Oryctolagus cuniculus: one gene and its partners. The protein of the gene in region 7 interacts with the protein of the main gene of each other region in a pairwise test. Links are inferred from orthologs where the notes say so. Each region holds a gene or a part of one and is shown on either strand. Other genes may lie near its edges.

Region 1 (3,790 bases), on a different chromosome or scaffold from region 7:
TATCTGGATTGGATGTTCACTAAGTTCTGAAACAACACTTTACTTTTTTTCTCTTCCTTTCTTCTTAAACAGAGCTTTGTAACTACATTGCATAGGAAGGCCACAGCAGATGAGTGCTGAACTAAATCTAGGTACCCAGAATGTAAAGACCCATTTCATGGTTCACCAAAGAAACTTGGAGTCGGTCTTGCTTCCCTGCCCTAGAGAAGAGCGCATTTGCTTCCCAGACTTTTGAACTTCCTCTCTACTGCTTGATGCCCGCAATGACCTGGGTTCTTAATGCAGCCTGCAGCTTACAACTTAGACCTTGAGGTTTCTAAAAGTTTGTTAAAAAATTCTTCCTCTCCATCTCAGACTGCTGTAGTTATCTGGGTGACACCCAAATCATTGAACTCTTCTCTGCCAGAAGAAAGGTAAGAAGACATCTCCACGACTAGTCATACTGGTTTGTTCATCCCATCAACATCCCTCATGTAAGCAGGATCCTGGATGGTGTTTCTGACTCTGCTGGTGCTCTGTCGTTCCATCCTCATCTTAATGGGGAAGCAGAAGTCTCTGAAGCACCGCTTGAAGTTTTCATCAAGAAAGGCATAGAGGATGGGATTGAGGCTGCTGTTGGTGTAGCCCAATGCAATGCAGAAGTAGTAGCTGGAGAGAGCAGCCGTACTGTGGGAGGTGCTGCCCAGTGCCTCCACAAGGATGAAAATGTGGATAGGGGTCCAGCAGATGATAAAGACTGCCACCACCACCAGAACAAGCCTGGTGATCCGGCGCAGGTTACGATCCTTCTCTCGGGAGCCAGAAAGGAGCCGTACACTCTTCAGGCGCAGGATCATGAGGGTGTAGCAGATGATGATGATGAGCACGGGGATCACAAATGCAAAGACAAAGACGCAGATCTTCATGAACAGGTCCCACCAAGAGTAGTCATCATCCGGGAACTGCAAGGAGCATTCGATAACATCCACATCTACAGGAAAACAAAACCAACAAAGTTTGTTATTGCTGTTCCCATAGATGCAGAGTGTTCTGAATGTGAATTTTAATCACTGCGATTGCAAAGGTCCAATAAGAATGAGATGATATTACCTGATGGACATCATCAAATTAGAAACAACTGCATATCCATATTGTATTACCCAGGCTATCTGTGTGCACAGAACACTGAAGCTAGCAAATCGCCACTTACATTAATACACAGGATGCTGTAGAATAAATAAGATTATACAGCAACATTGCTTATCTACTGATGGCTTTCAAAAGAGCTAAATTGTTAATTTACTGCATGACACTTACTTATAAAATGTTTCCATTTATTAACAGTTCTCTAAGACCTAATGCACTGGCAACAAAAGCTAATGTTTATTTGTAATAAATGACTAAATATTTAAACCTTGCCATTGAGTTTAAAAGCAGCCAACTTGTCTAGCAAACATTAATTGTTTTATTCAGGTAAATAAAACTGATATGAAATTTGTCTAAATATGACCCAAGTGTTGTGATTTAATGGAACCAACTGCATGTACTGTAATGAAGGGCATTACTGAAATATGGGTAACACTTCTGGAAGAGAAGGAGGAGAAAAAAGTAAAGGAGGAGACGAGGGAAAATGAAGCATGACAGAGAACTGGAAAAAAAGAATCATCATTGTAAGATTTCGGAGTAAATCAGACATATTTTTCATCATGGTAACATTAATACATAATTCAGATAAAATAAATACCTTTATATGATACTTAGGAAATAGTTTCATTTGCTCTTCTTCTGTTTGCTGGGTAGTATTATTTTGTAGGAACCTTCATATTAGAAAGAGCAGGGTCTCAGGATCAGTACCTTTTAAACTATTTGCATAGAAGCTCACTGTTCCCAAGCACAAAGCAGTCCACACTTTCTCCTGTTTCTGAGAAATCAAGAATTACAGAGCAGGCAGAACTCTCCTTGTCCTGGTCCTTCCTCATGGATGAAATAGTGATAAGCAACACTTGAGTGTAATATTTGCAATGGAAAATAAGTCCACTTTAATTTCCTCCCATTTTCCTCTCTGTTTTGCTGCACAAATTAATCTTCTTCCCAAACTGGTGGAGCTTTTCTCCCATTGCATCTGCACACATTTATCTATAACGACTCCTTCCTGGAAAAGCCACATCTTCATTTCCTCTTTCAAAAGCATAATTGAAATCCATTTACTCTAAGATGTCATTTTCTGACAATGATTAGAAGGAATGTAGTGATTAAGTCTACCAGTGAAATATGAAATGTAAAAATCAGCTCTTCATTTGTCCTAGGACGATCATCTTTATTCTTCAGCCCATTCCCCTCATGCTCACAGTGGATATGCAGCATCTCCTCTCCAATTGGAGTTGTTACACACAAACACCTAGGTCTCTAAAGAGTTCCATGCAGTTTGTTTTCATTTTTCGTAGGTATGAGGAAACAAATCCTGCATGTGATTAATCATATTTGAAAATGTTTATCTGATAGAGAAAGTTGGGCATTTCTTGAAAGTTACCAAATATTATAGCTTATTATCTGCTGTGGCTCTGCTGGAAACTCATTTAATAGTTTCAAAAGAAACAGATCATGCCACATTAAAAAACAAAGGATACAAGAGGTGGAGATTTGGTCTAAGGTTAAAATGCTGCTTGGAACACCAGTATCACATATTGGAGTGCCTGGGTTGAGTCTTGACTGATCCTGATTCTATCTTCTGCTAATGCATATCCTGGGAGGCAGCAGGTAATGGCTCAGACAGTTGGGTACTTGTCACCTATATGAGAGCAGGATTGAGGTTCTGGCTCCTGGCTTTAGCCTGATCCAGTCACAGCTGCTGCAGGCATTTGGGGGAATGAACCAATATACAGGAGTTCCCTGTCTCTTCCTCTTTGTGTTTCAAATGAATTAATTAATAAGAAAGAAAGAAAGAAAGAAAGAAAGAAAGAAAGAAAGAAAGAAAGAAAGAAAGAAAGAAAGAAAGAAAGAAAGAAAGAGAAAGAAAAGAAGGAAGGAAGGAAGGAAGGAAGGAAGGAAGGAAGGAAGGAAGGAAGGAAGGAAGGAAGGAAGGAAGGAAGGAAGGGGATTTTTTTAGGAAAAGGATACGTGTCATCATACATGTGTACAAACCCACAGAATGTATAGCCCCAAAAGTGAACCCCAGTATAAACTCTGGGTGATAATGTGTCATTGTCATTCATCAGTTTTAATAAATGTCCTACTCTGGTGGGAGACATTGATAGTCATGGAGACTGTGCATGTGTGAGAGTGGGAGCTATAGGGAAACTCTATACTTTCTATCCAACTTTGCCATGAACCTAAAGCTGCTCTAAAAATTTGTCTATAAAAACCATGCATCGGCCGGCGCCGTGGCTCACTTGGTTACTTCGCCTGTAGCACCAGCATCCCATATGGGCACCAGGTTCTAGTGTTGGTTGCTCCTCTTCCAGGGCAGCTCTCTGCTGTGGCCCGGGAGGGCAGTGGAGGATGGCCCAAGTGCTTGGGCCCCTGCACAAGCATGGGAGACCAGGAGGAAGCACCTGGCTCCTGGCTTCAGATCAGCGTGGCGTTGGCCATAGCGGCCATTTGCGGGGGTGAACCAATGGAAGCAAGACCTTTCTCTCTGTCTCTCTCTCTCTCACTGTCTAACTCTATCTGTCAAAAACAAAGAAAAGAAAAACATGCATCATGAAAAATAAGCTATGATTTTAGTGCCAGCCCTTTTACTGTTACCTGAAAAGTTCTCACCGCACATATTCAATTTTCTGTTCTCACAAGTATCATGAATATCCCCAATAAA
Region 2 (3,790 bases), on a different chromosome or scaffold from region 7:
TTCAGCTCTCAGCTAATAGCCTGGGAAAGCAGAAGATGGCCCAAGTGCTTGGGCCCCTGTACCCATGTGGGAGACCCAGAAGAGGCTCCTGGCTCCTACTTCAGATGGGCCCAGCTCTGGCTGCTGTAGCCATTTGGGGAGTGAACCAGTGGACAGAAGACCTTTCTCTCTGTCTCTCCCTCTCTCACTCTACCTCTCAAATAAATAAAATCTTTAATAAAAAAAGAGTATTAAATAGTTCTGTGAAAAAGACACCAGCTTAAACACACACATGCTAACATGCTTTATAAATAGCTGTCATAATCTCCCAAATTTTTGGCTATAATAGTATGCTATCAAACGAAATATCTTGAGAGAAGTGACATTCCTATGACAAAATGATTGCTATTCTCTTTTCTCCTTTGGTGAAGTAAAAACTATTAAAGAGGGTTGGGAAAGTAGATTTCTGTACAAGTCACAGGAATCTTTCTCCTGCTCTAAGTTACCCAGCCACTCCTTCAGACAGGCAGGGGGCAGTACGGGAGGAGAGGCCAGGTTCCAGCCAGCAGAGTCCCAAAGGCTCTGGGCTGCTTTGCTCGGAGAGAGCACTGCCCACACCCTACCACGAGACTGCGCGCTTCAGCACACAGGCTGTGCAACCTCGGAAGCACAGCTCCAGCTGTGAAAACACACAGATGCCTTAACTTAAACCTAAGCAACGGGGACACCGGCTGTGTCATCTCTGACAGAGGTTCTCACCTCACGTGTGAGAACGGAATTTGAGGAACACTGGTTGGTGTGTTTTCAGCTTTCTTCTCCTTGCTCTACTTAAAATACAGTGATTTGGGTTTTTTTTTTAAGATTTATTTATTTATTTGAAAGTCAATTACACACAGAGAGAAGCAGAGGCAGAGAGAGAGGTCTTCCACATGCTGGTTCACTGCCCAATTGGCCACAACAGCCAGAGCTAAGCCGATCCAAAGCCAGGAGTCTGGAGCTTCTTCTGGGTCTCCCACGCGGGTGCAGGGGCTCAAGCACTTGGGCCATCTTCTACTGCCTTCCCAGGCCACAGCAAAGAGCTGGATAGGAAGTGGGGCTGCCAGGACTCAAACTGGAGCCCATATGGGATACCGGCACTGCAGGCGGTGGCTTTACCCGCTACATCACAGCACCAGCCCCAAAATACAGTTCTTAATAAAGGACTCAAGCTACTTGCAGTGATGAGAAAATCTACAAGTATTCACCATGATGAGAAATCAAGAGAAAAAATTAAGTCATCCAAAAGGAAAACAAAATACCTTGGTTAAAAGACAATAAACATACAATTTTTGTCAATTAAAATAATGTTTAAAATGCCTAAGGGGGAAGGATCTAAACAGTTTCTTTGACACATAAATGCCAGAATAACTCCAGTAATTACAAATATGACTGATTTAATAATATGCCATCCCACCAGTACTATCCTAAGCGTTCCCCTGTCAGGAATGATGTTTACTCTTGACTCTGATTTTTCCAACTGCAAACACACAAGAATATTTAGTTTCAAAACTAATATAAGGTTGGCTTTGTTAGTAAAAATTGAACATGAAACTGACCTGTGCAGAAGCTCTGTAGTCATGGAAATAAAAAATAAGGTACATGTAATTACAACTAACCTTGGACAGAGGTTCAAAAACATCTCTGAATCCGGAAAAGTATTAAGTTATATTGTGCCTCTCCCTCTAAATCAACTTTGCTTTTCCATCATGTATTACTAAACAAAGAAAAAAAATGCTCTGCCTGAGAAAAAATAAGCATTCCCTCTCCCACCAAGAGAAAAATCCAACAGTAACAAATTCACACTAATACAAGAGCACCAGAAAGGAGAGGCGTGCTCACTGACTCTCAGTTAAGTCACGTCAGACACAACCTGGCTTCTCCACAATCAGAAGCCCTAAGGAAATGGGCTACGATTTCTAAACCAGAGCCTTCAGGACAACCAAGGATTTGTAAAACTCACTATCTGTGACAGGAGCTGGACAGTCAGTCAGTGCTCCATCTACTTCCCTGTGCACTTGGTCAGTCTCCCCTAATGATAAAAACAGGACAGCACCACACTCGGTGCTCTCACCTGAAGAAGTCATGGGAGAGTAAGGTGCAGAGCGCTGGCCGGCACTGTGGAATGGGATTCAGCAAAGTTGAGTGCAAGGTCTGTTGAAAGCTGGAGAGAACATCCGCTGAAACTGAAATCCAGAGCTACAGTTAGTTTCCAATGCCTTCTCCTCTTTTCAGGGCCTCTACAGCTGGAGACTGACGAGGGCAAAAACCAACCTGTAAAAGCCCAAACAAACAAAGCCCCTGCTGTTGCTGAACAGCTTCCTGCTTGCCTTATGCCCAGTCCCTGACAGGTGCAGAGTGCTGTCCTGCCAACATGTCCGACCTCGCCCCTTCCACGTCCTGACTTCCTCACTGCTGAACTCGGCTCAGGCCAAACAAAGGCTTACTCTGTGGCAGATTTAAGGGCCTTTCTCACCCAGGGTTCCTCAGCCACAGAAGATAAAAGTTATTTAAATGACTCTTGTTTTAAATTCTACCAAGTATGGTACATACTTGCCACCATTACAGATGCATAGTAGTTAGCTTATTACATATGTTTACCTTAGAGTTTAATTCTCAAGTACTTAAGCTGGGAAAATTTACAGCTAACAGCTGAATGAACACTCCATAAGCCTGTTAGAAAGAAACCGCACTGCAACAGCACAAAGCTTCACAATGGGAGACACAGGCCAGGAATGGGCATTATGGGACACGTGCCTCAGTAAACTCAACAGCAGGTCCCAGTAAACTTGAGGGGTCCCCAGACAGTGAAGCAGGCTGCTGAGCGTGCAATTAGAGAACACAGAAAACAAGTCTTTTGTAGTCTAGGTTTCAAAGGATGATGGAAGAAAAAAATAATGAGTAAATTACAGCAAGAGGAAAAAAAATCAAAAGGCTTTGAAAAAAGTCTTGATTTAGAAATTAATAAAAGATGTTGAACCTTAATCTGTTATTCAGGGGACCGGCGCTGTGGTGCAGCAGGTGAAGCTGCCACCTGCAGTGCCGTCATCCCATACGGGCACCAGTTTGAGTCCCTGCTGCTCCACTTCCGATCCAGCTCTCTGCTATGGCCTGGGAAAGCAGTAGAAGATGGCCCAAGTCCTTGAGCCCCTGCAGCTGCGTGGGAGACATAGAAGGAGCTCCTGGCTTCAGATTGGCCCAGCTTCAGTCATTGCGGCCAACTGGGAAGTGAACCAGCAGATGGAAGACCTCTTTCTCTCTCTCTGCCTCTCCTCTCTCTGTGTAACTCTGACTTTCAAATAAAATAAATTTTAAAAAAAATCTGTTATTCAGATCATTATATACAAGTCATTAACGGTGTTAGGACATTTGGCAAATAATTTGGGTGTTCCCCAAAGACCCATGAGTTAAGCCTTGATGTTCAGAGTCTTATGTTAATGAATTAAGGACAGAACTTAATTGTATTATGGTGTCTGAAGCTGAGGCCTTGAAAAGTGATTAGACTGGATTATGCTGTTAGGGCAGAGCCCCTATGATCAAACTGTGGCTATAAAGAGACACAGATGTGAAGGCAGAGTTGCTCCCTCTCTGCTTCCTGGCTCACCGTGTGATCCTCCCTTCACAAGTGTTCTGCCATCCATTGCCTTATCAGACACCCAGAATAATGAGGCCACCTGACCTTGGATTGTGAACCTCTAAAACTGTAAATTCAAATCAACTTTCTTCCTCCTTAAGTAGCTCCTCTCAGGTATTTTAGTCGTAGCTAGGAAAACCT
Region 3 (3,431 bases), on a different chromosome or scaffold from region 7:
GAACAATTGGTATTTGTGGCAGGGTGGTTGGGAAAACTCCATTGAAAGCGTCAGCGCCGTAACCCCGCTCCGCCCACAGGGGGCGCGCGACACCTGCCGTGGTTTGAGCGCCCAGGAAAGGCAGGGTGGAAAGGGCCTGGCTAAGCCGCAAAGCTTGCAGAAGTTTCTCGTCGGCCCAATCCCACGGCAGCACCTGGCAGGTGCTTTCCACTCCTGACCACAGTGGCCAGTAGGACAGAGCCCGAAATAAGCATTTCTAGTTTCTGAGGTCATCGGAACGCCAAAGAGCAGCTGCCCTTGACGCTCACAGAATCCGGAGGAGGGGCATGGCGCCTGTGAAACCCGCGCTGGTCTCCCCCCAAAGGGGGGATGGCGCTGCAGGCTGAATGCCAGCCACTCTCAGGTCTGCGCTCTCCAAGGAGGGCGTGGCCTCATACTTGTGACTGCCCTGGCCTGGCCACCACAAGGGAAAAGGGGGATGAGCAGGTGGGTCCCTCATACCTGAGCTTCCGCTTAGGCTGTCACAGGGGGACATCATTCAGCATCAGTCTCTTAGAAGATTGTTCTCATATAAGATTTATTCCCCAGCACCCACCCACCCCCAGTTCACAGTGGAGGACTAAGGAGATTCAGAGCAGGATCCCCAGGTACAAGAAACACCTTCCAAAGGTTTTGCTCTCTTTCCTTCCCTCCCTCTTGCTAACTCCCAAGGCCTGAAGCTACACACACTCATGCAAACACACAACACCCCACTTCCCGTTTTTTGCACACCAGCACTCACCTATAAGACATCCAGGCCCTGGGAAGAGCGAAGGTGTCCAAAGCCTGTCTGAGGACCCCGGAGTGGGGAGATGCCACTCCCCTTAATCTTCACACGAAGGTAAGTGACCAGAAGCAGGCACCTAGCTCTTCCCTTCTCACCGTTAACTACTTGCACGCCCTGGCCTCTACCTCATCCACTAACCAAGGGCAAACGTTTGCACACCCCCACCTGCAGCACGTGGAAATGAGCTCTGTCCAAGATCCTTCACTCAAGGATGGGAGTGCGGGGGGCGGGGTGGTCCCTGAGGATCAGCAGAGGGTTGATGCAGAGGGGAAGAGGATGGAAGAGTTTGGCTTGAGCTCTGACCGAGGAGGCAGAGGCTGTAGACTGGCACAGGTTTACAACCGATGATCGTTTTTGGGTTTTGTTTCACATGATTTCACTAGGGGCTGCGGAACGGATGCCCCTCAGAGGGGTCTCTGCTGATTACAGACACAGACTTGCTAACGGCCATCCTTAAAGGAGGCCCTGCCAAGTGAGGAAGCAGCAACAAATAAAGGAAAAGAGCAGAATAAAGAGTACGGACAGCTGGTGCCGAAGAGCTGGTAGCTCCCGGGCGAACCCACGGAGCCGTGTGTAAAGTGCTACTCCGCCGTCCCCCGGGGAATTATTGCTTCTCCAGAGGAGGACCCTAAGAAATGGGTGTGGTATTGCTTTGCTCACTGCTCAGGCTGATGGTCAAACAGAGCCAGGGGTCAGCAGCACCAAGACAACCATGTAGCTCCAGAAGATTCAGCGAGCCCTCGGGATACAGAGGCACTCCCGAACCCTCCTGGCCAGCTGACCGCCGTGGCCCTACGTGGTGTAGGGGAGGCCCAGCCCCACATCCTATTCACATTTCTTAAATTTCACAAGTGAATTAGGCCCTGGGACTGAGGCATCCAGAAATGGGGACGGCTGGGGGAAGTGGGGGCAGGTCTGCACAGCAGAACCAAAGGACAAGCTGGCTTGAAAAAACAAGCTGTGTTTCAACGAAAGATGACAACAACTCTGCCTCTTCTCTGGCTGCTGCCTGACTCTGGGGAGCAATGAGGGGAGGAAGGAAGGGATGCGATCTTCTGTCACGAGGGTCCCAGAGGACCCACTCCTGAAAGCAAACAGCAGCACCACCTCAGAGGGGAACCAATGTCCCTGACTACCTTGTTCCCCAAAGTACCATCGTGATGGACAGACGCCTGCCTGGGGGGAGCACACTCTTCAGTGACTGAGCACACAAACAGGCGTCCAGCTGCTAACAGGGGAGTGAGTGTCTGCTCTGAGAAGGCCTCTGAGCATCAGCCAGGCCACCCAGCATACAAATATAATTCAGGGGATGGGACCTGGGTTATTCCTTTGCCCCGTCACCTTATGCGGGATGGGGAGAAGAAAACTAAACCATATGACCTCCAAAGGGAGTCCTGTCTCAGTGGCTCCTGGAACTCGCAGGGTCCATCTGATTCAGCTCCGACTGGTCCAGAAGTTCAAAGTCATCTCCCTCAGCATCAGTGTCCAGGTCTGAAGTGGGGGCCTGGAGGAAGCCTCTTGGCCTCCGGGGAGGAGGGCCAGACGGACCTGGCTGGGAGGCCCCTGACAAGGCCAGCTGGATCATGCCCTGGGAGACCAGACTGGCAAGGCTGCTCGTGAGGTTGGATCCTACAGGCAGGGCACCAAGCAGGAGCTCTGGCAGTGCAGCCTCATCCCGGCTGGCGGGGGGCGCCTGGGGCTCCTCGGCCCCTGGCGGGGACCGGTACATCAAGCTGGGCATCCCAATGCTCGTGTCATCCTCGTCATCCAGGCCAGCAGGGTCCACATTAATGGAAGGGAAGTCGGGAAGGTCTCTGGCAAAGGATTCCTCTGGATCACTGTGACCATCCAGCTCTGGGAGAATACAGGGGAGTTTGAGACATGGCAGCCACCTGGCCCTCTCCGTGCCCCAGCGCTACAAAAACAAAACAAAAAACCCCACACGACTGCTTTTCCCACTGTGGATTTCAGAGTAAAGCAAAATCCACGGGGCTGCTTGGCTTCCCCCTCCACTTAGGGACTGGGGGCTACAGAAGCAGGGGTGATGCCATGCTGGCTGCACCTGCAGCCCTCCGGCTGCTCGGCCACGCGATCAGAACACGGGAGAAGCAGTAGCACTGGGCTCCTCTGTCCAGGGAAGCTTCGAGGCAGCAGTCAGAGCCTTTATCAGCCCAAGGCAAAGGTTCCCCTCACCTTCAGAGCCTTCTGTTAGAGGTGTTTGGCCCCTTGAAAGATTGAACGTGCCATTGTCTGTACAGGAGACCTCGGCATCCGAGTGCTCAGAGTCTGTGATGGCCAATTCCCTGGCAACAGCAGAATCATCGAGCTTAGGAAAAGAAGAGACCAACAAGCCTGAGGAGAGGATGCCGTTAGGACCGGGAGCAGCCCGCAGGGACAGCTGAACGAGTGCGCTGTTCCCAAGTGCTACCCTAGGACACAGACCAACCAGGGACAGATGGATGCTTTAGTATAAATCTTGACCTCTTTTAGGCTGCTTCCTCAAAGGAAACCCTCTTACTCATCAGCCTCTTACACACAGAAGAAAAGCAGACTTGGCGGTCAATGCACTGCTTACTGTTAAGCAGGTGGCTGCTTTTCGCAGGTG
Region 4 (4,521 bases), on a different chromosome or scaffold from region 7:
CTGCCTTTCCAATTAATTAATAAATAAATAAAAAAAGCCAGGATGCTGGCGCAGGGCTGGGCGCCCACCTGATGCGGCGGAAGATGCTGTCCAGGTCGCGCTTCATCTCGCCCAGCGCGCGCGTGTGCTGCAGGAAGCGCTCGCCCATCTGCTGCAGGCGGCCGCTGGACAGCTGGTTAAAGTTGAGCAGCATCTCGTTGGTCTTCTCGAAGCGGTCCAGCCTGGCGCCAGAGAGAAGGCTCCTATTCAGTCCTCAGCGCCCCAGTAAGGGTGTCCCGTGACGGCGCTGCCTGCCCCTGGGGCCCTGGCAGCTTCAGGGTGCTCTGGCCCAGCCCTGGCATGTGGCGCCGTGGGGGTCTGTGTCCTGTTTTGTCTACGCCCCGTCTGGGAGCTTCCCCAGGGTCAAGTCTGCAGCCAGCGCTGTGGCGTGGCGGGTAAAGCGGCCGCCTGCAGTGCCAGCATCCCGTGTGGGCGCCGGGTCGAGTCCCAGCTGCTCCACTTCCCATCCAGCTCTCCGCTGTGGCCTGGGAAGGCAGGGGAAGATGGCCCACGTGCATGGGTCTCCACCACCCTGGGAAGACCTCCTCTCCCCCTCTGGCTGTCACTCTGCCTTTCAAATGAACGAAAATAAATCACTCCCAGGATGCACCGGTCCTCCTCTCCCCAGCAAGGCAGCTGGAATCGGGGTGAGGCTGTGGCAGGCTCCGAGCCCGCCTGTGGGAGGCAGGTATGTCCCGCCGCCCTCCCCAAGAGACCCCGGGGGGCTCGCCACACAGCTCTGTGCCTCTGGTCCCGCCGTCCCCCCGCCTCCCCGCCCAGGAGCCCGGCCAGGGAGGAGGCCAGGGGAGCCAGCAGGCAGATCCAGCTCCCTGCGTTTGCATCAGGAGCGCGGCCGGAGTGGGCTCCCGCCCCGCCCCGCCCCGCCCCGCCCAGCCGGGGCTCACATGTTCTTCTGGGCCAGGATGATGGCGTTGACGTCCTCGGCGTTCACCATGCTCAGGACGCGGCTGCAGAAGACCCCGGAGGCCGAGTCGGGGGCGTCCATGTCCTCCTCCTCCTCCTCCGCGGCCTGGAGCAGGCGGGAAACACAGACTGCAGGGGGCTCCGGCGCGCTCTGGATCGGTACGGCTTCCCGGGGTCCCGGGCGCCTGCACGGAGCTGCTGCTGCTGCCTCCCAGCCCCCACCCCCGCCTCTGCACCTGCTGCCCCCACAGAACACGTGCGGCAAGGCTGCCTCATCGGGTCGCCCCCACGGGGGGGCGGGGTCTGCGGCGTGGAGCAAGGGGTTAGGGCTCCACGTGTGACAACCGCATCCCATGTGGGTGCCAGTTCGAGTCCCGGCTGCTCCACTTCCAATCCAGCTCTCTCTGTGGCCTGGGAAAGCGGCGGAAGATGACCCAAGTGCTTAGGCCCTGCACCTGCGTGGGAGACCCGGATGGAGCTCCTGGCTCCTGGCCCAGCCCTGACCATTGTGGCCATTTGGGGAGGGAAGCCGCCGCCGCCTTCTCCCTCCCGCCGGGGTCTCTGGGCCGGCCCCTGCAGACCCGGCTCTGACGGGGTTCGCCTGTTGTTAGCAAGTCCCAGGCACTGGGAGCCCCACGACCCAGACGTCCTGGACAGTGCCCGCTCTCACGGGCACACGAAGGACCCCACCCCAGTGGGCTGGGCCTCCCAGACCATGCGAGGCCCAGCAGCGGCGGGCGGGGGTGGGAGGGTCAGGAAAAATCTGGAACCTTGGCATAGCTTGGCCGCCAGGCCCACGCGCGAGATGACAGACAGCCCCATTTACAGCTGGCCGAGACTCGGAGCCCACAGCATCCACCTACTGAGCGCCTACTGTATGTGGCACACGCTCACTGCGCTCGGCGGTCACACAGCCCCCGAGCCCAGGCCAGGGTCCGAGCGGCCGCGGCCCTGGGCAGCACCCAGGTGCACGTGCGTCTGACGGGCCCCGCCCACGGCGGGGGGACAGCTGCTTCCTACGACAGCTGATAAAAACAATTTTTTCCCCATGAAATCGCCTTATTTGCCACTGTTAGCCAGGAATTCTTTTTATCCAAAACATCACGGGAGCCAGGACTGCTCGCGCCCTGACCCCGGCAGGTGGCTCGCCGCCCCTGGACACGCGCTAGGACTGTCTGCAGAGCAGGGCCACCCACGCGCTGTCCGGGGATCAGGGCAGAGGCTCCAACCCCGGGCCTGTCGCTGGCTGCCTCTCTCAGGAAGCCTTCCGGGCTGCACATCCCAAAGGGAACTCACGCAGCAAGGGCCCCGGTTTCAAGTGGGGGAGGGAGGGATCAGTTTTCTCATCCAGGAAATGGGAATGGGGGGCGGTGAAGGCAAGGTGGATTGTGGGCGGAGCTTGGAGCAGGTGTTTCCCCACGGGGTCCAGCCTGTTGAGGGCATCCCACGTGACTGCAAGAGGCGGAGCTAACTGCACAACGTCGCACTGAATTCCCAGCCACCCCTGCGAGGGTCGCCCACACCGTCGGCTGAACTCCCCACTCCGCGCCCCGGTAAAGACAGCCCGGGTGGGGCGGGGCTTGGGTCTACACCCGCAGGCTCCGCCCACACGAAGCGGGGAAACTGAGGCACCGGCAGGTGAACGCCCAACTCCAGGTCACACCGCACCGTCGGAACGCTGGTGGCCCCAACGCCCGCGCCCCGCACGGCGCGCCCCACCCCGGGCAGCCCGGGGACGGCGCCCGACCCGGCCCGGCTCCCCGCCGCCCCGGCGTCCCGCTCCCCGCCCCGCCCCAAGCTCAGCCCCGGAGGCGGCGGCGGCACCTGCACATCTGGCAGCCTCGCTCGCGCTTCCGGGATGGCGTCCGCGCCGCCGCGACGTCACCACGCACGGGCGCTCGCGGCGGCGGCGCACTCTGGGGCCGACGTGCGTGCGCGCGTGCGTGGTGGGGGCTCGGCAGGAAGAGGCGGGCTCGCTCGCCCTGCGTCACAGCCCACGTCCAATCAAACGGGCTCTCGTGCGCCTGCGCAGTCCGCGCGGCTGAGCCGCCGGAAGGGGTTAGGTCGGAAGGTATGTCCAGGGCTGATGTCCGCAGTCTCCCCCAGTCCGTGAGAGCTCCCAGGCTCCCGTCGCTTTGAATGATCTTAGCATTTAAGAACTTTTTCCTAAGATTTTTTTTATGTACTTCAGAGGCAGAGAGAGAGAGGTTTTCCATCCGCTGGTCACTCCCCAGATGGACACTGGGCCAGGCCGCAGCCGGGAGCTCCATCCGGATCTCCCGCGCAGGTGCAGGGCCCGGCATGCTGCCCCCAGGCCCTCAGCCCGGGGCTGGACCGGTCCCGAGCTGCAGAGACTGAAGCCAGCGCCGCCGCCTGGGGTGCGGGCGCCACAACGCGGCCCCCCAACAAGGATTTTTTAAAATAATTTTTAGAATTTTTGGGGGGCCGGCGCTGTGGCATAGCGGGTAAAGCCGCCTCCTGCAGCGCTGGCATTCCCTATGGGCCCCGGTTCGAGTCCCGGCTGCTCCACTTCCGGTCCAGCTCCCTGCTATGGCCTGGGAAAGCAGCGGAGGATGGCTCAGGTGCTGGGCCCCTGCACCTGCGTGGGAGACCCGGATGGAGCTCCTGGCTCGTGCGCACCGGTGGGAAGAAGCTGGGTCGCAGACCCCGGCTCTCAGATCTGGGATCCAGGCTCCCAGCGGGCGTCTTGGCTACGTTGTTACTGCCGCCTCTGCTGAAAAGCCCCGGGGACCAGGATTCTTACGGAGTTTGACAGTTTTTAAAGACTTTCCCTCCCGCCAGGTGTGGCCCGTGTTCTGGGACCCCAGGGACCACTTAGGTCCTGCTTAGGCCTGGAAGGAAAAAGGAGATAGAGTCAGAGGCAGACGCCCCCAGCCTCGCGGGGCTTCTGTGTTTGTAAAGAATAGGAAGGACCCTCCGTGCGCAGGAACCTGAGCCGTTGTGAGCGCTCGTTTTGGGAGCAAGGGAGGTTGCGGGGAGGCAAACCCCATCTAGCTGGGGTTTTGAGGTTGGAGTAGGAGTTTTGCAGGCAGTGGACGTGACTTGGGGCTGTAAGAAACGATGATGGGAAACCACACGGTGTGGGCTTGACCGTTGTAAGGGGGGGGGGGCTCGGTGAGCCCGCGGCGGCCAAGAGCTGAGAGAGGGGCCCTGCTGGGGGAAGCTGCTCGATCCATGGCCGTGTGCAGGCTGCCGCAGGGGGCCCTGCCAGAGGCCGGGGCACGTTTCTGGGAGCCCCAGACGGGTAGGGACAGAGGGACTTGGGGGCCCCGAGGACTGGAGACGAAATGTCCTGGTGTCCTGTGTGTTTACGGGAGAGGGTGGTGAGCGCAGGGCCGCCCCGTCCAGCAGGAGAGACCCATGGGAGGGCACTCGCAGCCCCCTCCTCCGCCCTGTTTTGGTTGCGTTTGCTCCACGCGTGTCCCCGGGTGGGCTCAGCCACTGGCCACCCTGGCCAGGGAGGGGACCTGGCCCACGTTGCCCTCCATGGCCGCGACCTTGAACAAGCTACGCCATGCCTCCGTTTCCCTGGCCATA
Region 5 (4,392 bases), on a different chromosome or scaffold from region 7:
CAATAACAAATTACCTATCAAAAGCTTGGAGCCAAAAACTATTTTTTAAAATAAATTCTACGTTACTAGGATGAATAGTCTCATTTCACTGATGACAGTACTGTCATACTGAAAGGGTACTTCAGGTCAGCACAGTGTGTATTACTAACTAACAACTCGGCGTGTGGAACAGCAAACCTCTCAGTGCTGTACAGCAAACAGGTCACTAGAGAAACAGGCTGAGTTTACCCACTGTATTTTTAATCATTTACTAAATGTTATTTATATTCTCACCAGGAAAATGTGAAAAAGATACTGATACACATTATGTGATTTTATGCCAACACCAATGTTATTTTATGCCAACACCAATGTTATATTAATAACAATAAAAACAATTATACTTACACATCTTGTTCCATTTTCCTGTTAAAATACAACTTCAAGATGATTTAAAAATCATTCAGATGATTGTCATAAAATTAGTAAAATACGCTTTCCAGTAATTCCTAAAACCAACATTTCATATATAAAAGGATATCTGCAAGTATGTCATCTCATTCCACATGCACTTCCACTTAAGACTGTCATTTCATGGGCTGCATTACAAAGAATTACTTCACAGAACTTATGATCAATGCTCTTTATTACATAATATTCAGTAGTCATGCTCAATCAACAAGGCCGACAAACTTGTAAATATTCTTCTAAATAATCTAGCTTACTAGTAACATTTTTCAGTGCAATAACATTAAAAGAATTCCTGTATTCTTTACTCATACAATTTTGCAAATGGGAATAAATATATAAACACACAAGAACTTGTTTTCTTAAAGCAGGTAAGATTAACAGAGGTTAAAATTAAGTTTATTGATAAGCCAAAGATTGACCCTGACACTAATATCACCAAACTTAAAGTAGCTCTTGGTCAGAAAAGTACAGCAGAGCGTATGTGGTCTCCCTAGTGGTCTATTACTTGAGGTGATTTTTTTTTCAATTTCTAAACTGTTAACTCATAATAAAATGTTTCTAATCAAAATTTAGAACATTCTGATCAAAATGAGTCTGAACATGCCTTTCAAACCCCTGCTGGTCGTAGTCGGGAGGGAACTGCTCGCTGCACATTGGGCACACTTTCCAGTGACTTTCAACATGCTCTTCAAATTTGCTCTGATCATAGTTGGGAGGGAACATTAATTCACAGAGGGGGCACTTCTTATGAACATCAAAGCTTGAAGAAAAAGGAAAATGAAAATTATATATAACAGTAATATATGACAAGGTTATACTTATTGTTAGCACATATTCATACTAAACAATCTACCATGAAAGTATCTATTCCAGAAACCACCCTGCTTGCAATAGATAATTGTGCTCCCCATTTGTAAAACCTCTAAATTCAGTTTTACTACATTAACAAAATCCTTTTCTTCATGGAAAAAACCCCAAATCCAACTGCATTATGTGAAACAAGTCTTAGTGCCGAAAACTCAGTCCCTAACTAAAAGCAGCACTCCTTGTGAAGCTGAGAGGAGGCCTGCAGCTCACAGTTCCCCTGCAGCGCCCCATGGCCTGACAGCTGCAAGTTTCCATGGTACACACTCTGCAATGGCTGCAGGCATCGGAATCAGCCAGAGGCCTGCTACACACACTTCTGGGCACTTTATCCGGACCTTCTGGTTCAGCTGATTGGGCCCTAAGGATTTGCAGCTTGTAACAAGGACCAGGGGGCTGGCACTGTGGCACAGCGGGCAAAGCTGCTGCCTAGAGTCCCAGCATCCCATATGGGAGCCGGTTCAAGACCCAGCTGCTCTACTTCCCATCCAGCTCTCTGCTATGGCCTGGGAAAGCAATAGAAGATGGCCTAAGTGCTTCGGCCCCTGCACCCATGTGGGGGACCCAGAAGATGCTCCTGGCTTCAGACTGGTGCAGCTCTGGCCTTTGTGGACAACTGGGGAGAGAACCAGTGGATGGAAGACTTCTCTCTCTGTCTCTGCCTCTCCCCCTCTCTGTAACTCTGACTTTCAAAATAAATAAATCAATCTTTAAAAAAAAAGGACCAAGAACCACACTTTGACAGCCATTAGCCTATATAAACTATTTAAATTCTACAAAGGAAAAAAAAAATTACCTGGAATCAAAACAAAAGCCCGCTGCGTGCCCACGTACATGCTGACTTGAAGGATCAGGAGCACTGGGCGTATTCTCATCTTCCTAGGCAAAGAACAATTTTGCAACTTTTGAGAAAAGTGAAACCAAACACAGATTCCTTAATTCAGTCCCTTAAGAAAGATTACAATTGAAGATACTTTCTATTATTTAGTTAAACTTTCACACAGACATGTTTGAAAATGAGTTTTACAGAGTATTTCTCTAGGCCAAACCAAGACTCTGACCATATGAAATACAGGAGCCCCCCACCTTATTCACAGGGGATATATTCCAAGATTTTTGGAAAACTGCTATGATTTTTCTTATACATACATACCAAGGATAAAATTTATAAAACAGGCAGAGAAAGAGATTAACCATACCTAATAATAAAGTGGAATGATTTTAATGTACTATAAAGAAGTGTACGTAAATGTCTAGTGTTCTAGAGGTGTCAAAGTATCTTTCGGTACCTTCACCTTTTCACTCAAGGAAGCACTTGGCAGCTTCTCTTTTGCATGTCTGGACTGCCAGAATCACTCCTGTGGCTCTTTAGGGCTGTTACTCAGTAAATAAGGGTTCCTTGAACACAAGCACTGCATTAGTGCAACAATCATGGGTCACACACAGTGTGGATATGATGGATAAGGTTTCATCACACTCTTCAGAACAGCATGCAAACTAAAACGTAGGAATCATTTCTGGAATCTTCAATATTTTCAAGCTTTGGCTAACAGAGTTATGAAACTATGGAAAGCAGGGGCCAGCTCCATGGCTCACTTGGTTAATCCTCCACCTGAGGCGCCGGCATCCCATGTGGGCTCTGGGTTCTAGTCCCGATTGCTCCTCTTCCAGTCCAGCTCTCTGCTGTGGCCCGGGAAGGCAGTGGAGGATGGCCCAAGTGCTTGAGCCCCTGCACCCGCATAGGAGACCAGGAGGAAGCTCCTGGCTCCTGGCTTCGGATTGGTGCAGCACCAGCCGTAGCGGCCATTTGGGAGGTGAACCAACAGAAGGAAGACCTTTCTCTCTCTCTCTCACTGTCTATAACTCTACCTGTCAAATGAAAAAAAATTTTTTTAAAAAAAAGACCTCTCTGTCTCTACCTCTCTAATTCTTTCAAAAAAAAAAAAAAAAAAAAAAAAAAAACACTATGAAAAGCAAAAACTTGGATAAGGACAGATGACTATAAAAAGTACTGAGTGGAAGCCGGCGCCGCGGCTCACTAGGCTAATCCTCCGCCTAGCGGGTTCTAGTCCCGGTCGGGGCGCCGGATTCTGTCCCGGTTGCCCCTCTTCCAGGCCAGCCCTCTGCTGTGGCCAGGGAGTGCAGTGGAGGATGGCCCAGGTGCTTGGGCCATGCACCCCATGGGAGACCAGGAAAAGCACCTAGCTCCTGGCTCCTGCCATCGGATCAGCGCGGTGCGCCGGCCGCAGCGCGCTGGCTGCGGCGGCCATTGGAGGGTGAACCAACGGCAAAGGAAGACCTTTCTCTCTGTCTCTCTCTCACTGTCCACTCTGCCTGTCAAAAAAAAAAAAAGTACTGAGTGGAATACTTTTCAAACCTCTATGTGTAAGTAACTGAGTTTTTATCATTCCATACACTGAGTGACGGCTTCCACAGACATCTTAAGGTTGCAGTTATTCCAATTATTCTCAGCTATAATTTGCAATAAAGTCCCTTTGACAGGATACCTCTACTACACAATCACAAATAAAACACATGTTAAAGCAAAGCAATGCACCAAACCACAAGCTTCAAAACCCTGTTGTAGAATAAAGCTCAAAATTGAATATCTGACTAACAGGTCGTCAAGTGAGACTTCTAAAAAGCTGGGGATCTGAGTTTTAATCAGAAAACAGGGATTTAGATTCCTGTACCTGCATTCTGGTGGGCAATTCTTAAGAAATCTGTACAAGTTACATCCACAGCCAAACAATCTCATTTAATGCCAAAGGCAGCCACATCATCAAAATTGGCCCTTTATTTTCGTCTCAGGGCAGTTATTAGCTACTTTCATGTCATGAAGTAACAGCACATGAGAACAGCAGGCAGTGATGAAAACCCTGATGATGGTGGGTGCTTGGGCTCACCCCAGAGCTGCTATTAATGCAGTAGTCATCTGGGTCATGGGCAGAGATACCAAAAGAGTATACCAAGTAATCCAACAACAAATCAAGATGGGTTTGATTTTGGGTGAGTGGGTGGGTGTCGGGGAGGGACTAAGGTATCACTGTCAATTTTCTCTTGAAAAAGAAGAGATGG
Region 6 (4,373 bases), on a different chromosome or scaffold from region 7:
GGATGCCAGCATCACAAACATCAGCTTAACCTGCTGTGCCACAACAACGGCCTGAGACTTTTTCTAAGTTGTTTCTAGCATGTCTGTAATTGTTTGTTGAGGTAATTTTAAGATGGATGATTTAAAATCCTTGTTGAATGTTTCCAGTATCTATATCATATCAGTGTTGGTATCTGTTGAAAGTCTTTTCTCATTCAAATCGAAATTTTTTTGGTTCTTAATATCATGAATGAGTGATTTTCACTGTGTCCTGGACTTTTTCTTTAAACTTTAAAAAAATTATTTGAAAGGCAGAGAGACAGAGGAAGATTTTAACATTTGTTGGTTTAATCTTTAAATGACTGCAATAGCTGGGGCTGGGCCAGACAGAAGCCAAGAACTAGGAATTAAATCTGGGTCTCCCATGTATTTGGCAGGGACCCAAATACTTGAACCCTGAAGCCCCCTAGGGTACACATTAGCAGGAAAGTAGAATCAGAAGTGGAGCCAGGACTTGAACCCAGACACTCTGATATGGAATGCAGACATTCCCAGTGGCATCTTAACCACTGTGCCAAATGCCCACCCCTGGATCCTAGACATTTTATGCTAAACATCTCTGGATCTTATTTCAATCTTCTGTTAGCAAACCTACTTTGAAACCACACTGGTGAGATAGTGAGAACTTGACTTCATTACTGCCAGGTGAGTATAGAGTCAAGGTTTCCCACTCACCATCCATTTATAACTGGGGTATGGATACCATTATTACTGGGTAAGGATTAAATTTCAGGATCTTCAGTAGGATTCCATTGATACCATCTTGGCTTGTAGAGATAGCTACGCTACCATCACATGCTTGAGGATGAAAATCCTAGATTCCCACTCAGATCATTCTGAAACCACTTATAGGAGAATAGGAAAGAGATGTGTGAATATTTAAAGCCAGTTGAAGGTGGAAGTCTAGGCTTCCCATTTGGTCTTTGCTGATAGGAGTGGGAGTGAGAGTGCAATTTTTCCTGTGATTTTTAGCTGGATTATTAAAGTTACTGTATAAACATCATCTGCCTTTATAGGTTGCCTCTTTCTGGTTCTTTTGGATAGAGATAGATGACTTTTTGAGGGACTTTTTGTTGTTGTGTTGCAGACTTATTGGCATTGTTGAGTTGCTGGCTTCTCCATCACCAGGTTCAGTATTTTTTTAAAGATTTATTTATTTATTTGAAAGTCAGAGTTACACAGAGAAAGAGAGGCAGAGAGGCAGAGAGAGAGAAAGAGAGAGAGAGAGAGAGAGGTCTTCCATCCACTGGTTCACTCCCCAATCAGCTATAATGGCTGGAGCTGTGCCGATCCGAAGCCAGGAGCCAGTAACTTCTTCCAGCTCTCCCACGTAGGTGCAGGGACCCAAGGACCTGGGCCATCTTCCAACATCTTCCCAGGCCATAGCAGAGAGCTGGATCGGAAGTGGAGCAGCCGGGTCTCGAACCGGCACCCATATGGGATGCCAGCACTGGAGACAGCAGCTTTACCTGCTACACCACAGCAACAGTGCCACAGGTTCAGTATTTATTACTCAAAAATAGAACTCAGGGAACTCACTGCCATGTTGTTACATGCCACGTCTTGAGTTTCCTTGCCACTAGACTGCCTTCTCTACCTGTGAGAGATTTATGATTTATTTATTTATTTATAAAAACTAGTGTTTTAGCTCTACTTAGTGGGAGGAATAGAGAAAAATGCATCTGCTCCACCTGTTCTTGGAACAAGGATGTATAACTGGTTACTCCAAGAAAACACGGATATTGTGTTGGTTTTAGCCATTCTCCCAGTAAAAAAATCTAGTTCAGAGCAAGTAAAATCACCTTGACCCCTACCTCCAGTCCCTTGACAACCTCTGGGGACCATTCCATTTTCTAGCTTTATGAATTTAACTACTTTACATACCTCATACACACAGCAAATGCAAATATGTATCACACTCTCTTTATCCATTCATCTATCAATGGATATTTGGGTCACTTTCATATCTTGACTATGGAGAATAGTGTTGCTATGAACAGAACTATGCAAATATGTCCTTGAGACCCTGTTTTGAATCTTTTTGGATGCCTATCCAGAAGTGAGATTATTATGTTAGTTCTACTTTTAATCATTGAGTAGCATCTACACTACATATACTATATGTTTTCCATAGTGCTTGAATCCTTTTACAGTCCCACCAACAATACACAGGGTTTTACATTTCTTCACATCCATGCTAACATTTGGTATTTTCTATAGCCATTCTAATGGATGTGAGGTGATATCTAATTGTGGTTTTGATTTGCATTTTTCTGGAGATCAGTGATACTGAGGGATTTTATGTGCTCATGACCATTTGTGAATCATCTTTAGACAACTGCCTGTTTAGTTCTTTGCTCATTTTTAATCAAGTTATTTGATTTTTTAATATTTGAGTTATAGGAGTACTTTATATATTCTGGGTGTTAACCCCTTACAGATATTTGATTTGCAAATATTTTCTCCCATTTTTGTAGGTAGTCTTTTGACTCTTTTGATTGCATTCTTTGATGCACAAAGTTTTTTTATGTTTAATGTAGTCCCATTTATCTTTTTTTGCTCTTATTGTCTGTGCTTTTGGGGTTATATCCAAAAAATCATTACCTAGTCCAGTGTCACTAAGCCTTTCCTATACATTTTATTCCAGTCATTTTGTAGTTTTAGGTCTTATGTTTAGGTCTTTAATCCATTTTGAGCTAGTTTTTGTATATATTGTATAATAAGGGTTTAACTTCATAATTTAGGATGTGGATATACAGTGTTCCAGCAGCGTTTATTGAAGAGATTGTCCTTTTTCCATTGAGTGATCCTGGTACTGCTGTGGAAGATCATTTTATCATATTGCTAGAGTTCATATTAGTTCTGTATATTCTATTGCATTGGTTGACTTGTCTGCTTTTGTACTGGTACCATATTGTTTTGATCACTGTAGCTTTGTGATATGTTTTGAACTCAGGATATTTGAATCCTTTGACTGTGTTCTCCTTCAAAGCTGTTTTACCTATTCAGGATCTCTTGAGATTCCATATGCACTTTAGAATCTATCTTTCTATTTCTGCAAAAAATATCATTGAGATTTTGATAGGCATTGCATTGAATCTGTATATTGCTTTGCATAGTATGGACATCTTAATAATATCAAGTCTTCCAATCTCTGAGGATAAGATATTTTTCCATTTATTTTTGTATTCTTGTCAGCAGTATTTTATAGTTTCCCATTGGTATACTTCAATATACTCAATAAAAAATTTGGTATAAATAAAAACATTTTGCTAAACCTTGCTTTTCCAATAAAATCAGGGTACAGATCTATAGATGTATTTTCCATTGGTGCTTCCAATTCTTTGCTGCTTGGCAAAATTACTGAATATGCCAAAGGTTTTACTTATTTAGGCAATGACGCCTTAGCTGGCTCCTTTATTCAATTGAATGGGACCAGGGTCTGCACCCCATCTTTCTCTTTATTCACTATCATTATTCCTTAAGAATAAGGTTTTTTAGTGACTCTGAACCTGAGGCCCTAGCAGGACTGCTTAAGGGTGGCAGTATACACCCTTGTCTTCTGTTTTTACGTTTTATTTATTTGAAAGTTAAAAATAGAGATAGAGACAGACATAAGAGACACAGAGAGAGAGACCTCCCCAAGCACCTGCATCAGCTGGGGTCTGGACCAGGCCAAAGCCAGGAGCTGGGACTTCCATCCAGGTCTCCCACATGGGTGGCAGGGATCCAGGAAGTTGAGTCATCACCTGATGCCTCCCAAGATGTGCATTATCAGGAAGCTAGAATTGGAAGCACAACCAGTACTTGAACCTAGGTACTGTGATATGGGATGTAGGCATCTCAAGTGATGTCTTAACTCCTATGCCCAATGTCCCTCCTTCTTCTTACTTATTTTTTAAAACTTTTATTTAATAAATATAAATTTCAGAAGTATAACTTTCCTCCTGACTTCTTAAACAGGGTATATGAAGTATAATAATTTGATCTTTTTGACTAAGTATCATTTAGTATTAGGACTATCAATTGTTATGTTTTCCTATTAGTATAGTGAAATAGGACTTATTGAAATGTTTTTTAAAGAAGACTCATTTTTTTTTAAAAAAAACTTTATTTTATTTATTTGGAAGTCAGAGTTATAGACACACAGAGAGAGAGACAAAGAGATCTTCCATCTGCTGCTTCCCCCCTCCCCCCAAATATCCTCAATGGTTGGGCAGGGCTAGGCCACAGCTAGGAGCCAGGAGCTTCTTCCAGGTCTCCCACATGGGTGTCAGGGGCCCAAGCACTTGAGCCATCCTCAACTGCTTTCCCAGGCACATTATCAGGGAGCT
Region 7 (3,790 bases):
GATCATGAGATTGAGAGTATTGAATGGAGTCGAAGGATCTGAGTGTGGCTCTCCGCAGACTTGGCTGACTCAAAAATGATGTCAAGTCCCTTAAGCATTTCCCTTCACTGTGCCTTGTTTGATTCAGCCCCAGAAGAGCCCAAAACATTGGAGGAAAAGATCAGATGTCCATTATTTAAACCACCTATTAAATCAGCTTTGCCATTGTGATGTCAGTTTGTTTGAGGAGAAGTACCAGCCTAGTTTCCTGGGAGGATCACAGTTTAGAGATTATCGGTGAGATGTCTCATCTCCTCAGGCCATGTGGTTTTGTAATAGGTTTTGTATTGAGTTTGGAATTATAAAGAACATATTTGATCTTCACCTTGATCCTTAATGGAATACCTACTGTGTTCAGGAGACACTGAAAGATTATAGATCTCCTTGCTCCAGAGTTAATAGATTTGAATATTGACTTTCTAGAACATTTTCAGAATTCTCAGGAGATGTAACACACTACTTCACACTTGGTGCCCCCACACTGAATTGAGTGACCACCCTAAGACTCCTGGGGTCTGGTAGACCTCTTTCCATCTCTGGTTTGTCTTGGGGGAAGTGGGGGTGGAAGGGTGTTACAGGTCAGCTTTAGACAATGATGGGATTGATTGGTCTGGCTATACATAGAACTCCTGTGCATCAGGTGAATCTTGGGGTGGATCTGCTAACAGTGGGTCTGAAATTAATGGGGGAAAGAAGGAGTAAACTCCGCTGTGTTGCGCTTGGGACTCTGCGGGCCTCTCGTGTTTCACTTTTTATTCCCAAGGCTGCAGGAGGATGGTTGGCTCTGCTCAGATGGTCTCCAAAGCTGATACTTACTCTAGAGGGTACAGGTGCAGGAGAATTTACCCTTCCTTTAATCCCTTGTTTTCTGCTCTTCGTGCCTTCATTTTCCTTCTTCCTTCATCCAGTTGGCCAGTTCTACTTCTTAATCCGGAAGAGGATCCACCTGAGACCTGAGGACGCCTTATTCTTCTTTGTCAACAACACCATCCCTCCCACTAGTGCCACCATGGGCCAGCTGTATGAGGTAATGCTCCCGGTCGCAGCAGTTCCGAGCAGTCTGAGTTGTTGATAACACTGGGAAAGTGGGGCAGAAGGTGTTACTTACCAGGATCCTCTTACAGATGGCAGTGTCAGGCTCTGGGTGATCAGACAGCACTTGTCCTGCAGGGAAGCAGTCCTCAGGACTAGATTTATTCCCGCTGACAAATCTCTCTTCAGTCTCGCCTGACTACTGTTGTAATGTCAGTGGTCTTTATTGAAATGACTGGAAGTGGTTGTTGATAACAAAGATTCCAAACATGGATTCACTGCAGTTCCTCTTTTTCTTGTTGGTGACAAATAGTGTGAAAGCAAACTATGCATTCAGATCTCAGTTCATTATTTTATTGCTATTTATTTGAGAAAACAAATGGTGTTAATTTTAGCCCCTTCTAGCTCTGAAACTAACCTTAAGCTCTAAACCGAAATTTTGGTTTAAGACAACCATATAGAGCCACACAAGGGTAGCTCCTTATTTCTGAGTTCAAAGCTAAGAACATGAAACAGATTCACCATTACCTGGGCACAGTGAATTGTAATTGAAATTGAAATGCAAATTAAGGCCAAGTCTTCATTTTGATTCATTTATCTTAAGAGACAAACTCAGGGAGAATAACTTACCTGACTTGGTTTAATTGGTAATCTAATGAGTAAGCTATAGTAAAGCACTTTCTCACGTTGGAAATTGAACGTAACATTATAACTGTTGTACTCCTTAAAGGATTTCACACGAGTGCTGCCTTCTCATGGCGCCTCAGTAATGACACAAACTCTAATGGGACTTCTATTCCATAGTGTATCTTCTCCATTAATATATATTCCTGTACATGTCTTGTGGTATGTTTCCCTTGCTAATATGAACTTTAAAAAATATTTTAAATTATTTATTTGAAAGGCAGAGTGACAGAATTAGAATGAGATCTTCTACCCACAGGTTTAACCACTTCTGCTTACTCTTTTAATAGAGGCTAGTGATGTTCTTCATACTTATTCAATAAGGCTGTGTGTGGCTCAGAAGCCTAGGAATAATGAAGATGAATAGGTGTCCTGAGCTGTCTTCTTTTCTCTTCCCCAGGACAACCATGAGGAAGACTATTTTCTGTATGTGGCCTACAGCGATGAGAGTGTCTATGGGAAATGAGTGTTGGAAGCCCAGCAGATGGGAGCACCTGGACTTGGGGGTAGGGGAGGGGTATGTGTGGGACTTGGGGGAAGAGCAGGAGGGCTCCCACCATGGAGGAGACAGAATGTGAAGACATCGAGAAATATTACACCACACACACTGTCATCATATTTTCACATGCTCAGTTGATATTTTTTGCTGCTTCCTCGGCCCAGGGAGAAAGCATGTCAGAACAGAGCTGTTGGATTGGCTGTGAGAAAGGATTGAGGATGGCATAACTTTACAGCTTTGCTGAGAATACTTGTGCAATTTCATAGGAGGGTCAGCGTATGGACCAGGTGGGGCCAGAGACAGTTGCGGTCCAACAGTGACTCCCTCCTCACCATTCTAGTTTTGACATTCACATGAGACCAAAAGGGGAGGAAGACAGGAATGTTTTATGACTTGTGGTGGTGGGCCGTGCCTTCTGGGGACCAAGCCCATTGTAACTGAAGCACTGTGGCCTTCCACGACTCCTCCCTTCCATCCAAGTTGTATTGTCACACACAAACATCTCAGTGCCACCCCAGAGGTGGCAGTAGACACAGGCACAGAAATTGAGATGGCACTCTCTTACCTTGAAAATAGGGGTTAGTCATGACGGTGGTTATGATTACGAGGTAGTTAGGCCAGCACTGAACTGGAACGGACTTGAGTGTTGAGCCTCTCTAACCTGCTGTCTCTCTGGTGCCCCTTATCCCACACCTTTCTTGGAACTCAATGGGCCCCAGGCTAAAACTACTCCTTTAGCATATCCTTTAGCGTTTCCCGTGTATAGGGACAGAGGTGTCTTAGGTATGGCAGAGGCAGGTGGATCTCCAACTCCCACTCATCCAGACTCCTTCCTCTCCTGCTGCTGTCCCTGCAGTCTCACACGCACAGGACGGTGCTGACGGTGGCCAGCTGCTTCCCTCCTTTGGTTTCCACGCTGCAGCTGCTTGTCACAAGAGTTCGGAGGGCTGACTTTCAGTCACTATCGGGGATTTTACTGATCTGTTTTCCCTGCGGGGGTTACGTGGGGTGGGGTGGGGCCCAGGAATTGCACTCAGACGTGACATTTCATTTCATCTCCGCTACTAGAAAGAGTCCTTCCTGTTGGGAAATCTGTGTGTCAGTTCTGTCAGCTGCAGGTTCTTGTATAACAAAGTCAATGCTGTCAGGCCTCAGAAATAAAGTAATTTGCTCACCTTCAGAATTTACATGGAGTTCATAAGTGTTGCTTTTATTCGGTGTACGTTAGAGTAGATGGCACGCGGACTCTGAGCAGAACGCTGGGAGCGAGGTGAGCGAGTGCTCACCTCCATGATCAGATGTACACGTGTCGTCTCAGCTCGTTGCTGACCTGGAGTTGCCCTCGAGGGTGAGTGGTAGAGTGGGGCAGTGTGCCCGGTGTGCTGGTGATGTGTGCTTTGGCAGAGCTGAAGGTGGAACTGCCTGCATCAGAGCATGGCGGGCGGGTCGGGGGTGTGCGGATTACAAATGAAGATGTCTGGGCCTTGTCCCAAACGTATGTGACTCAATCACAGCGTAGGCGTCTGGAGTTTTAAT

What was found.
Region 1: the proteins of GABARAPL1 (region 7) and OPRK1 interact in binary tests that used the Homo sapiens proteins (3 or more experiments, as listed by UniProt). The link is inferred for Oryctolagus cuniculus from reciprocal best matches to the Homo sapiens genes GABARAPL1 and OPRK1.
Region 2: the proteins of GABARAPL1 (region 7) and SCYL3 interact in binary tests that used the Homo sapiens proteins (3 or more experiments, as listed by UniProt). The two-hybrid records come from large-scale screens. The link is inferred for Oryctolagus cuniculus from reciprocal best matches to the Homo sapiens genes GABARAPL1 and SCYL3.
Region 3: the proteins of GABARAPL1 (region 7) and RETREG3 interact in binary tests that used the Homo sapiens proteins (3 or more experiments, as listed by UniProt). The link is inferred for Oryctolagus cuniculus from reciprocal best matches to the Homo sapiens genes GABARAPL1 and RETREG3.
Region 4: the proteins of GABARAPL1 (region 7) and KXD1 interact in binary tests that used the Homo sapiens proteins (3 or more experiments, as listed by UniProt). The two-hybrid records come from large-scale screens. The link is inferred for Oryctolagus cuniculus from reciprocal best matches to the Homo sapiens genes GABARAPL1 and KXD1.
Region 5: the proteins of GABARAPL1 (region 7) and TAX1BP1 interact in binary tests that used the Homo sapiens proteins (3 or more experiments, as listed by UniProt). The link is inferred for Oryctolagus cuniculus from reciprocal best matches to the Homo sapiens genes GABARAPL1 and TAX1BP1.
Region 6: the proteins of GABARAPL1 (region 7) and ATG4A interact in binary tests that used the Homo sapiens proteins (3 or more experiments, as listed by UniProt). The two-hybrid records come from large-scale screens. The link is inferred for Oryctolagus cuniculus from reciprocal best matches to the Homo sapiens genes GABARAPL1 and ATG4A.

Annotation. Positions count from the first base shown.
Region 1 is NC_091437.1:78,042,605-78,046,394, forward strand, and holds part of OPRK1 (kappa-type opioid receptor), read right to left. Parts: intron 971-3,790; coding exon 438-970; 3' UTR 1-437. UniProt on the Homo sapiens protein: G-protein coupled opioid receptor that functions as a receptor for endogenous alpha-neoendorphins and dynorphins, but has low affinity for beta-endorphins.
Region 2 is NC_091438.1:27,728,942-27,732,731, forward strand, and holds part of SCYL3 (protein-associating with the carboxyl-terminal domain of ezrin), read right to left. Parts: intron 2,202-3,790; coding exon 2,090-2,201; intron 1-2,089. UniProt on the Homo sapiens protein: May play a role in regulating cell adhesion/migration complexes in migrating cells.
Region 3 is NC_091448.1:20,299,331-20,302,761, reverse strand, and holds the end of RETREG3 (reticulophagy regulator 3), read right to left. Parts: intron 3,153-3,431; coding exon 3,020-3,152; intron 2,681-3,019; coding exon 2,226-2,680; 3' UTR 556-2,225; downstream 1-555. UniProt on the Homo sapiens protein: Endoplasmic reticulum (ER)-anchored autophagy regulator which exists in an inactive state under basal conditions but is activated following cellular stress.
Region 4 is NC_091447.1:65,705,745-65,710,265, reverse strand, and holds the start of KXD1 (kxDL motif-containing protein 1), read right to left. Parts: upstream 2,918-4,521; 5' UTR 2,788-2,917; intron 1,070-2,787; 5' UTR 1,046-1,069; coding exon 945-1,045; intron 222-944; coding exon 69-221; intron 1-68.
Region 5 is NC_091447.1:19,405,510-19,409,901, reverse strand, and holds the end of TAX1BP1 (tax1-binding protein 1), read right to left. Parts: intron 2,194-4,392; coding exon 2,111-2,193; intron 1,211-2,110; coding exon 1,009-1,210; 3' UTR 608-1,008; downstream 1-607.
Region 6 is NC_091453.1:85,192,420-85,196,792, reverse strand, and holds the start of ATG4A (cysteine protease ATG4A), read left to right. Parts: upstream 1-1,378; 5' UTR 1,379-1,475; coding exon 1,476-1,536; intron 1,537-4,373. UniProt on the Homo sapiens protein: Cysteine protease that plays a key role in autophagy by mediating both proteolytic activation and delipidation of ATG8 family proteins.
Region 7 is NC_091440.1:106,922,828-106,926,617, forward strand, and holds the end of GABARAPL1 (gamma-aminobutyric acid receptor-associated protein-like 1), read left to right. Parts: intron 1-947; coding exon 948-1,066; intron 1,067-2,155; coding exon 2,156-2,221; 3' UTR 2,222-3,441; downstream 3,442-3,790. UniProt on the Homo sapiens protein: Ubiquitin-like modifier that increases cell-surface expression of kappa-type opioid receptor through facilitating anterograde intracellular trafficking of the receptor. Involved in formation of autophagosomal vacuoles.